Linked DNA regions of Oryctolagus cuniculus. The protein of the gene in region 1 interacts with the protein of each later gene in a pairwise test. Links are inferred from orthologs where the notes say so. Each region holds a gene or a part of one and is shown on either strand. Other genes may lie near its edges.

Region 1 (3,790 bases):
TACAAAAGGCTGGATCCTTTGGGGACCGCTGAAATCAGCTGTACCAAACGCTGCAAGACCGCTTCCAACAGACACAGCGACGAGGCTGGAGTCGCTGAGCGCGGGCGGCGGGAGAGCACAACTCGCAGCGCTGTGTGCCGGCCAGCCGACACCGTTCACGAGCGCGCCACGAGGGTGTCGACAGCACTGTCGGCACGTCCCGCTCAGGACCCCTTGAGTAAGAGCAGGGAAGGGTCTCTGGCTGGGAGCTGCACGTCCCCACAGCTCCGTGCCTGGGCCCCGGTGCCCCGGCCCCCACAGAACCTGGTGCAGCTGCTGGGCGGCTCTGCGTCGAGGCTCCAGCACCGTTGCTCTCCGGGCGTCTGGCACCAGCCGCGTCAGTCCCAGGCAATTCTGGGGTGTCCGCGAGGCTGAGGAACAAGGAAGCAGACATGGGGGCGGTGGAAGAGCACCGCAAGTCAGAGCGAAGAGCACGACACGAACGGCTCTTCACGTCCAGCTGGAAGCTCTGCCCGACACGGAAACAGGCTCCCTGCGGTGGTTCCGTAAAGCACCAGCCCTGACACACTCCTGCGCGCCCTGGGAAGCCCCGTCCCCAGACACTCGCTGTGCACGGCCAGGGGAGCTCCCTGCGGTGGCCTCCCCGCTCGCTCTGTTCTGCTTGGCTTTGGGACTCCCTGACCCGGAAGGGCCAGCCTCCTCCCCTCACAGCTCATGACCTCGAGAAGGCACCGTGGGGCACCAGGCAGCTTTCCTGTCTCACCAGTCGGGAGCCTGCCCCTGCTGTCACCTCTCCCCAGCTGTGGCCACCGCCCTTCTCAGATTGCTCTTGGCCCCCAGACAGGCTGGACAGGCTGGACAGGCACGCAGCTTGGCGGCGGGGTATCAGAGTCTGGGCTGCAGTGGCAGGAGCCAAAAAGCGTGAAGGCTGTTGGAGGCCCAACGAAGGACTGAAACAGACCCTGCGCCGAGGTTCTCTACTAGTCAGGAGGAGGCAAACACAAGAGGAGCGCCCAGACAGAACCGAGACGCTGCACTGCACAGCACAGCACAGCTCAGCGGGGCTGTGGACACGCCGCGGAGGCGCGCTCCTACCTTGGGCCGGTAGCCACGCTCGGCCATCATCTTCGCCTCTTGCCGCAGCAAGGCGTCCGACAGCTGCTCTGCCTGCCTGGCCTCCTCCTGCTCCTCCTCCTCCTGCTGGTCAGCCTCCCGTGCCTGCAGCTGGCGCTCTGCCACCTAGGCCCAAGAGCAAAGTCACCCCAAGGCAAGGCCCCGGGGCACAGCCCTGCGCCTGCTCAGCAGGGGAGGCTGCGGGCCCAGCTGGGCTGGAGGACCAGAGCTCTAAGGAGCAGGGGCGGCAGGTGCCAGGAAATGGGAGGGGCCCCTGGGGACTGGAAAAGGCTTGGCCAGCAGCCGTCCGGGTCTTATACAAAGCTCCACACACGGCTGTGTGTTGGGCAGAATATTCCGTGTTCCACCTCAGGTTGTGGAATTGAATAAATGGAGAACTGTGGCCCAAGGAGCCACCTGTCCGCAGGTGCGGACAGGACGGAGGGGACAGACAGGCCAGCCGTGCCCACCAGAGGCGAAGGACCCTGTGTGGGGTGCGCCAGGGCTTCAGCTGCAGTACCCAGGGCCACAGCGCACTGCACTCTCCAACACGAGCGAGCTGTGCGGAAAGCGCACCAGCCCTCAGGCCTGCCCTGCAGCGAGGCAAGGATGCGTCCCCTGCAGAGGCTGCCTCCCGCCCAGGGCCCTGGCTCAGCCCACCTGGGCTTCCAGCTCCTGCTTCCTGGCCGACTTCTGTTCTTCACTCTGCCCCTGCTCCCGGCGAGCCGACTCCCTCGCCTCCTCCAGACTGCGAATGAGTTGCTCCCTGTGCTTTAAGGATTCCTCTTGCGCCCGTCGGTTTCGTTCAATCTTTTCTTGTATTTGCTGTTGTCTTCCCGCCAGGACCTGGCCTCGGCAGGAAGGAAGAAGCAGACTTGAGAACAAGCCTTGGCCAGGCAGCTCCGCAGGCGACCTAACCCTCAGCCTCGGGTCTAAAGCCCGACAGGACGGCCAGGCCCCACTCAGACTCGGGCAGAGTGAGACTCGTTCCCTAGCAGTGGGGAAGCCCACAAGCCCCGCAGATGGCCACAGGGGGTGGGGGGGCCTCGGCTCATGGGGTGACATCCCCCACTCAAGGCCCCAGAGCAGCGTGATGTCTTGCACCAGCCTCGGACGGCCTTGGGGATCAGAGAGGCGCCTGGGAAGCCACCGACACACCCTACGGTCACGCTCTCGGGAGGGAACCTGCAAAGCAGCCACGACCAGGACCCAGGCTGGAGCGAGGAGAATCAGCGGCCACTGGGGACACCTGGTATTCACAAGAGTGGGAAATCACCAACGGAGACCCCAGTTCCCACCGCCAGGCACACGGGACTCCCTGCTCTAAGCCACTCGGAGCTCTCGGCACACAGGTGACACAGACCACCCAGCCACTGGGCGTCTTCCACGTGTGCTCTCCAGACCATGGCTGGTTCCCCGTGCTGAGGGAGAAATCTCAATGTGGAAAAGCCCAAAACACTCCGGGCAGCATTGCTTACAGTGGCTCAGAATGAGAACAAACTAGAACGCACCAGACAGCGATGGAAAGGCACGCTGGGAGGCCCTCAAGAGGACGCGTGGTAACAATCTGGCCGTGACACGGCATTTACACACAGAGCAGTACGTGGAAACGCTCGCCTCGAACGGCACAGTATAATAGGCACCGGCACACACGGAAGCAGGAGTTGAAAGAAAGATGCCAGTGGCTATGCCGAAGACAAGGCTCGGGTGCTGTCAGTTTTACTTTCTGCAAGTTCGTTCTTTTTTTTTTTTTTTTGATAGGCAGAGTGGACAGTGAGAGAGACAGAGAGAAAGGTCTTCCTTTGCCGTTGGTTCACCCTCCCACGGCTGCTGCGGCCAGTGCACCGCGCTGATCCGAAGGCAGGAGCCAGGTGCTTCCTCCTGGTCTCCCACGCGGGTGCAGGGCCCAAGCACTTGGGCCATCCTCCACTGCACTCCCGGGCCACAGCAGAGAGCTGGCCTGGAAGAGGGGCAACCGGGACAGAATCCGGTGCCCCGACCAGGACAAGAACCCGGGGCGCCGGTGCCTAGTGAGCCGCGGTGCTGGCCTGCAAGTTCTTTCAACAAGAGTTTCCAAGCCCACGTAAGATAACTGGAAGAGACTGTCCCCAGCAGCGCCGGTGGGATCAGTGCTCCACGGTGGACTCCAGACACCTGCCTGGGGCCCCGGGCCTGGAGGAGATGCTGGCTTACCTCGCTCATGAGCCTGTCGCGTGCACTCCGCTCTCGGGCCCACTCGGCCTCTCTCTTTTCCCACATCTCCTTGGCCTCCTCCCTGGGCAAACACGAAACAGGTGGCAGAGGCTCTGCACCACTGCTGCTGGCCGGCAGTAAGCCAGAGAGCACACAGGGCCCAGCAACAGGCTCCGGAGGACCAACCTTCCCGTCAGCTTGTCCCCCAAGCTCTGCAAACCTTCCCGGAAGGACTGCCCTCGGAATCTGAGGCTACCCCTTCCCAATACCTCATCTCCTAAAAGCACTGCAGGCAGCTTCTACAGCAGCCCCTGGAGTGATGGAGACCACCAGGCCTGGGCGGGAGGAAGGCACTGCCAGGGCCTGAGCCCTGTGGCCGTGCACTGGGGTCATGGCCAGTGACCTCCGTGAGTGTCAGTGGCTGTCACCCATCACGTGACCATTTCAGTCTATGGGTTAGGTGTCGAGGGCCAGGACCCACTTG
Region 2 (4,518 bases), on another chromosome or scaffold:
GAGACATCTTGGTAGTGAGACTGACCCGGCCAGGGGTCTCCCAAGTGCAGGGCAGTGCGGTAGCGAGCCTACAGGACCGGCACCCCTCAGGCAAGGGGACACAGGCCCACAGGCTGGACAGGCTGTCACAGCAGGGTCAGCACACCTGCTCTGGGAAAAGCGGTCCCGAGCCCTAGAGGCCGTGGACACTGCTGGACGCCCTACAGCCTCAGGCCAGCACCCGTCCTCGGAGGACGGCCAGGCCCCGTCGGCCGAGGTGCCGGGTGCTGCCCTGCCACTCGGGCCGCGGCCACCGTCACACACCCTTCATCCCGAACCCTTCTAAACGTGGAAGCCTCCCCAGCTCACGAGTGGCGGGAAACCAGGGTTCAGGGCAGCTTTGCCCCCGGCCCTGCAGAGCCACACATGGCAGGTGCCCTCACCTGGGCGCCCCCGCTCGCCTCCCCTCCAGGTCCACCCCAAGCCCCGCCGTGAGACCCACGCAGGGGCCCGTCTTCAGGACGCACAGAAAACCCGCGCCTTTCCGGAAAGATTCTCTTTTATTTTTATCGCAGATGTTCCCACTTGGCACCCAACTGGCGTCAGACCAAAGACCGCGGCCGACAGAGCCGGCCACCCCGCTTCCCACCTGCAGGTCTCAATCCTCAGGGCACCGGGCACCTGTTCCTCTCGGCCAACCCCATGGCAGAGCGATGCTCCCAGCTGACAGCGGACGCGGTCTGACGTCCTTCAGGCCCTGCGTGGTGGCCGGGATGGAGAAAGGACATCAGGCAGGAGATCCACCATCTCACACAGCCTGGACAGCACGGTGCGACTGGAGCTCTTGGGTCAGCACAGCCGGGCCAGGAAGTCCCTGAGTCCAGCGGGGCAGCTGCTGTGCAGGCCCCGAGCTAACGGGAGAAGCAATGTCAGCCACGACTTCTGGGCAGCAAAGTGGCCGCTCGGCTGGGCAGGAGCAGGCGCTGTCTCTGGTGCAGCGGGCGGAGGTGGGGCCCCGGCTGGCCCACGCCCCGGGCTCGGGGTCCCGCACCCCCGGCGCGGGGCTGGCCGCCCCACAGGCCCGGGCACGCACCCCCGCCGCGGGGCTAGTTGACCCGACAGGCGCGGATCATGAGCAGCTGCAGCAGGATGAAGACGGGCGACGCGATGAGGCCGAACCACAGCTCCCGGGTCTGCTCCACCAGCTTCTGGCACAGCAGCATCTCAAAGACGAACTTGAGGCTTAGCACCGTGAGCACCCAGAAGAGGCGCAGCACGGCCAGCCGCTTCTCCCCGTCCTGGAAGAGGCGCACGGACACGATGGTGGTGAAGTAGGCGCTCAGCCCGTCGGCGGCGAACAGCGGCACGAACACGTTCCACCAGGACAGGCCGGGCGCCAGGCCGTCGGCGCGCAGCGCCAGCAGCACGGAGAACACCAGCAGGGCCAGCAGGTGCACGAAGCTCTCGAAGGGCGCGAAGCCCAGCCACTGCACCAGCTCCCGCAGCGAGAAGAGCATGGCGCCGGCCGCGCGCGGCCCGGGGCCTCGCCCGCCGCCCCCGCAACCGCCGCGAGCGCGAGGCAGCGAGCGGCCGCGCCGCCGCCGCCGCCGGCCGCCGCCCGGAACCCCGCACCGGCCGCCCGCCGACGCCCGCGGCGCTCGGACGCCATGCCCCGCCGGGCGCGGCCCAAGTGCGTCACTTCCGGTGGGCGGCGGAAAGCGGAAGTCGCCTCGCGGCGGGCGCCGGCGGTGCACCTGGTGGCGGGGACCGCCCCCCGGGGGAGCCGCGATGCCGAGCCCGCAGCTGCTGGTGCTGTTCGGCAGCCAGACGGGCACGGCCCAGGATGTGGCGGAGAGGCTGGGCCGCGAGGCCCGGCGCCGGAGGCTCGGCTGCCGCGTGCAGGCGCTGGACTCCTACGCGGTGGTGAGCGCTCCGGGGGCGCGGGGAGGGGGCCGGGCCGCGGGGGTGCTCGCAGGGGGCGCCCTCGGTGCGGTGTCCCCGCACGAGGTCTTACCTGCGTGTCTTCTCTTGAGGTGAACCTGATCAACGAGCGCCTGGTGGTATTTGTTTGTGCAACTGCAGGCCAGGGAGACCCCCCGGACAACATGAAGGTAAGGCTGGCCCGGGGGCTCCGCCCCGCACTTGGAGAGACACCGGCGGTAGTCAGTGGCTCTCCGCCGGTGCTGTCGGAGAAGCCTCGCCCTCCGTGTTCACCGCTCGCGGACAGGCTGGTCTGGTCTCCTGTGGCTCCCGGGGAAGGGCCTTTAGGTCTCGGTGCAGCCTGGGCACGGGCTGGGGCCGGGGCTCCCGGGAGCAGAAGCAGCGAGCGTGCTGGGCGGTCCAGTCGGCGCCGGAAGTGCCCGCGGCTGGGGAAGGTGCCAGATGCTAGGGGGGCCAGCCGCGGGGTGCGAGCAGAGCCTCTGGTCCTGCAGCGAGCGGGGCGCCAGGCCCGGGAGGAGGGTGCTTGGCGCTGCAGGGAGGGGCGGCAGGAAGCCAGGCCCAGTGCAGAGTGGCCGGGCAGCGGCGGTCAGGCAGGTGGGCCGGAAGCCGTGGGGCGACAGCTGTCAGGTCCAGGCCTTCTGCTCACCCACAGAAGGGGCGGTGGGCACGCAGGGGCTGAGGCGCCCTTGCAGGGCGGTGGTGGGAGGAGCAGAGGGGCAGCGCGGAGGGCCGCTCTGGTCACGGACAAGGAAGGTCGGGGTTCAGGTTTGGGGCTCCTGGGGTGGCCCTGTGAGGGCGGGGGCGGGGGGAGGGGTCCCAGCAGCACAGCCCAGAACCGCTGCTGCGACGGGGAGACGAGGGGAGGGGGCGCGGGAGGCAGCGAGCTCGCCCCCCACCTCGTGAGTGCCTGCTCCGGGCGGCCTCGGGGCCACCTGCCTTCCCTGGACGGGTTCTCGGCACGGTGGCAGAGCAGTCGTGTTGCTCCAGGTGTCCATGTTCGTCTGCCTGCAAGCCAGGCCTGGGCCGGGCTGAACCCGGGAGGCCAGACCTGCAGCTGGGTCTCCGCGTGGGCGTGGGCGTGGGCGTGGGCGGCGGCCAAGCGCGGAGCCGTCAGCACCGCCTGCGGGGCGCGCGGGAAGCCCGGCTCTCACAGCTCCCTGCGGCTTCAGAACTTCTGGAGGTTCCTGTTCCGGAAGCGCCTGCCGCCCACCTCCCTCTGCCAGATGGACTTCGCCGTCCTGGGCCTTGGGGACTCCTCCTACGCCAAGTGAGTCCGAGGCGGGTGGGCGCTGGGCGGGAGGGGCGAGAGCTGCGTCCCGTCCACGCACGCTCTCCGTGGGGCCGGCGCCCCTCCACACGGCTCCGCCGGGGCGGGGGGCTGCCTCCGGTTTTCCTCGGCCTGCCGTAAACAAGCAGCAGTGTCGCTCGGCAGACGTGGAAGACCGCCCGGCGGTCCCAGAAGGGCGGGGTGGCCGTGCCCGCAGGTCAGGCACCCCCGAGTCCCTTCAGTGGGAGGCACAGGCAGTGAGGACCTGGGACCGCTCCACGTGGTGTTGGTGACCGGGGGGGCACTCCCCACAGAGGAAACCGCGCCCGGGAAGACAGGTGGCCCCCGCAAGTCCCGGCTCCCACCTGCGGGCACCCGGATGAGGGCCGTCGGGAACGAGGCTACTTCCCAGCCCCGGAGCTTCCTCGGCTCTGCCAAGCCTGGGCCGGCCGCGCTGTCTCTGCAGGTTCAACTTCGTGGCCAAGAAGCTGTACCGCCGGCTGCTGCAGCTGGGTGGCAGCGCGTTGCTGCCCGCCTGCCTGGGCGATGACCAGCACGAGCTGGGGTGAGAGCAGGGGGCGGTGCCGTGGCGCGGCCAGCAGGGCCCCGCCACGGGCAGGACGCCCTCAGCTCGTGCCCATCCCCCCAGGCCTGATGCCGCCATCGACCCCTGGCTGCAGAGCCTGTGGGAGAAGGTACTGGAGCTGTACCCTGTGCCCGCCGGCCTCGCCGTGATCCCCCCGGGAGTCCCGTGAGTGTGGGCCTCCCCGAGGGGTGGGCGAGGGCCCCGGAAGGCAGCCCAGGCTCTGACGGCCACGCCCTCCCCACAGCCTGCCCTCCAAGTTCACCTTGCAGTTCCTTCAGGAGGGCTCCAGCGTGGGCTCGGAGGAGCCCCGCGAGGCTGGTGCTGACCCTCAGGGGCCGCCCACAGAGCTGCGGCCCTTCCTGGCGCCCATGGTCACCAACCAGAGGGTCACCGGCCCCTCACACTTCCAGGACGTCCGCCTGATAGAGTTTGACATCACGGGCTCTGGCATCAGGTAAGGGGCCTGACACAGCCTCGTCCCCAGACAGGCAGGGCAGCGGGGTGTGGAGGCGTCCCCGGGAGCTTGGGGCTCGGGGTGGGGCAGTGGGCGCAGGGTTCTCGAGCCCCCGCTGGAGCTGGGAGTTGGCAGCTCTGCTGGGGAGGCCTGAACGTGGCCTCCCTCCGCAAGCCCCTCCCCTAACCCCCACCCAGCTTTGCCGCCGGTGACGTGGTGCTGATCCAGCCCTCCAACACCGCCGACCACGTCCAGCGGTTCTGCCAGGTACTGGGCCTGGACCCCAACCAG

The links.
Region 2: the proteins of TCHP (region 1) and NDOR1 interact in binary tests that used the Homo sapiens proteins (3 or more experiments, as listed by UniProt). The two-hybrid records come from large-scale screens. The link is inferred for Oryctolagus cuniculus from reciprocal best matches to the Homo sapiens genes TCHP and NDOR1.

What each region holds. Positions count from the first base shown.
Region 1 is NC_091452.1:18,803,052-18,806,841, reverse strand, and holds part of TCHP (trichoplein keratin filament-binding protein), read right to left. Parts: intron 3,389-3,790; coding exon 3,307-3,388; intron 1,960-3,306; coding exon 1,774-1,959; intron 1,240-1,773; coding exon 1,096-1,239; intron 411-1,095; coding exon 378-410; 3' UTR 1-377. UniProt on the Homo sapiens protein: Tumor suppressor which has the ability to inhibit cell growth and be pro-apoptotic during cell stress. Inhibits cell growth in bladder and prostate cancer cells by a down-regulation of HSPB1 by inhibiting its phosphorylation.
Region 2 is NC_091432.1:237,493,000-237,497,517, forward strand, and holds the start of NDOR1 (NADPH-dependent diflavin oxidoreductase 1), read left to right. Parts: upstream 1-1,646; coding exon 1,647-1,902; intron 1,903-2,012; coding exon of another isoform or gene 2,013-2,061; coding exon 2,062-2,090; intron 2,091-3,059; coding exon 3,060-3,187; intron 3,188-3,653; coding exon 3,654-3,752; intron 3,753-3,836; coding exon 3,837-3,938; intron 3,939-4,017; coding exon 4,018-4,227; intron 4,228-4,424; coding exon 4,425-4,518. Other genes in the region: TMEM203 (transmembrane protein 203), read right to left, coding at 1,086-1,496. UniProt on the Homo sapiens protein: NADPH-dependent reductase which is a central component of the cytosolic iron-sulfur (Fe-S) protein assembly (CIA) machinery.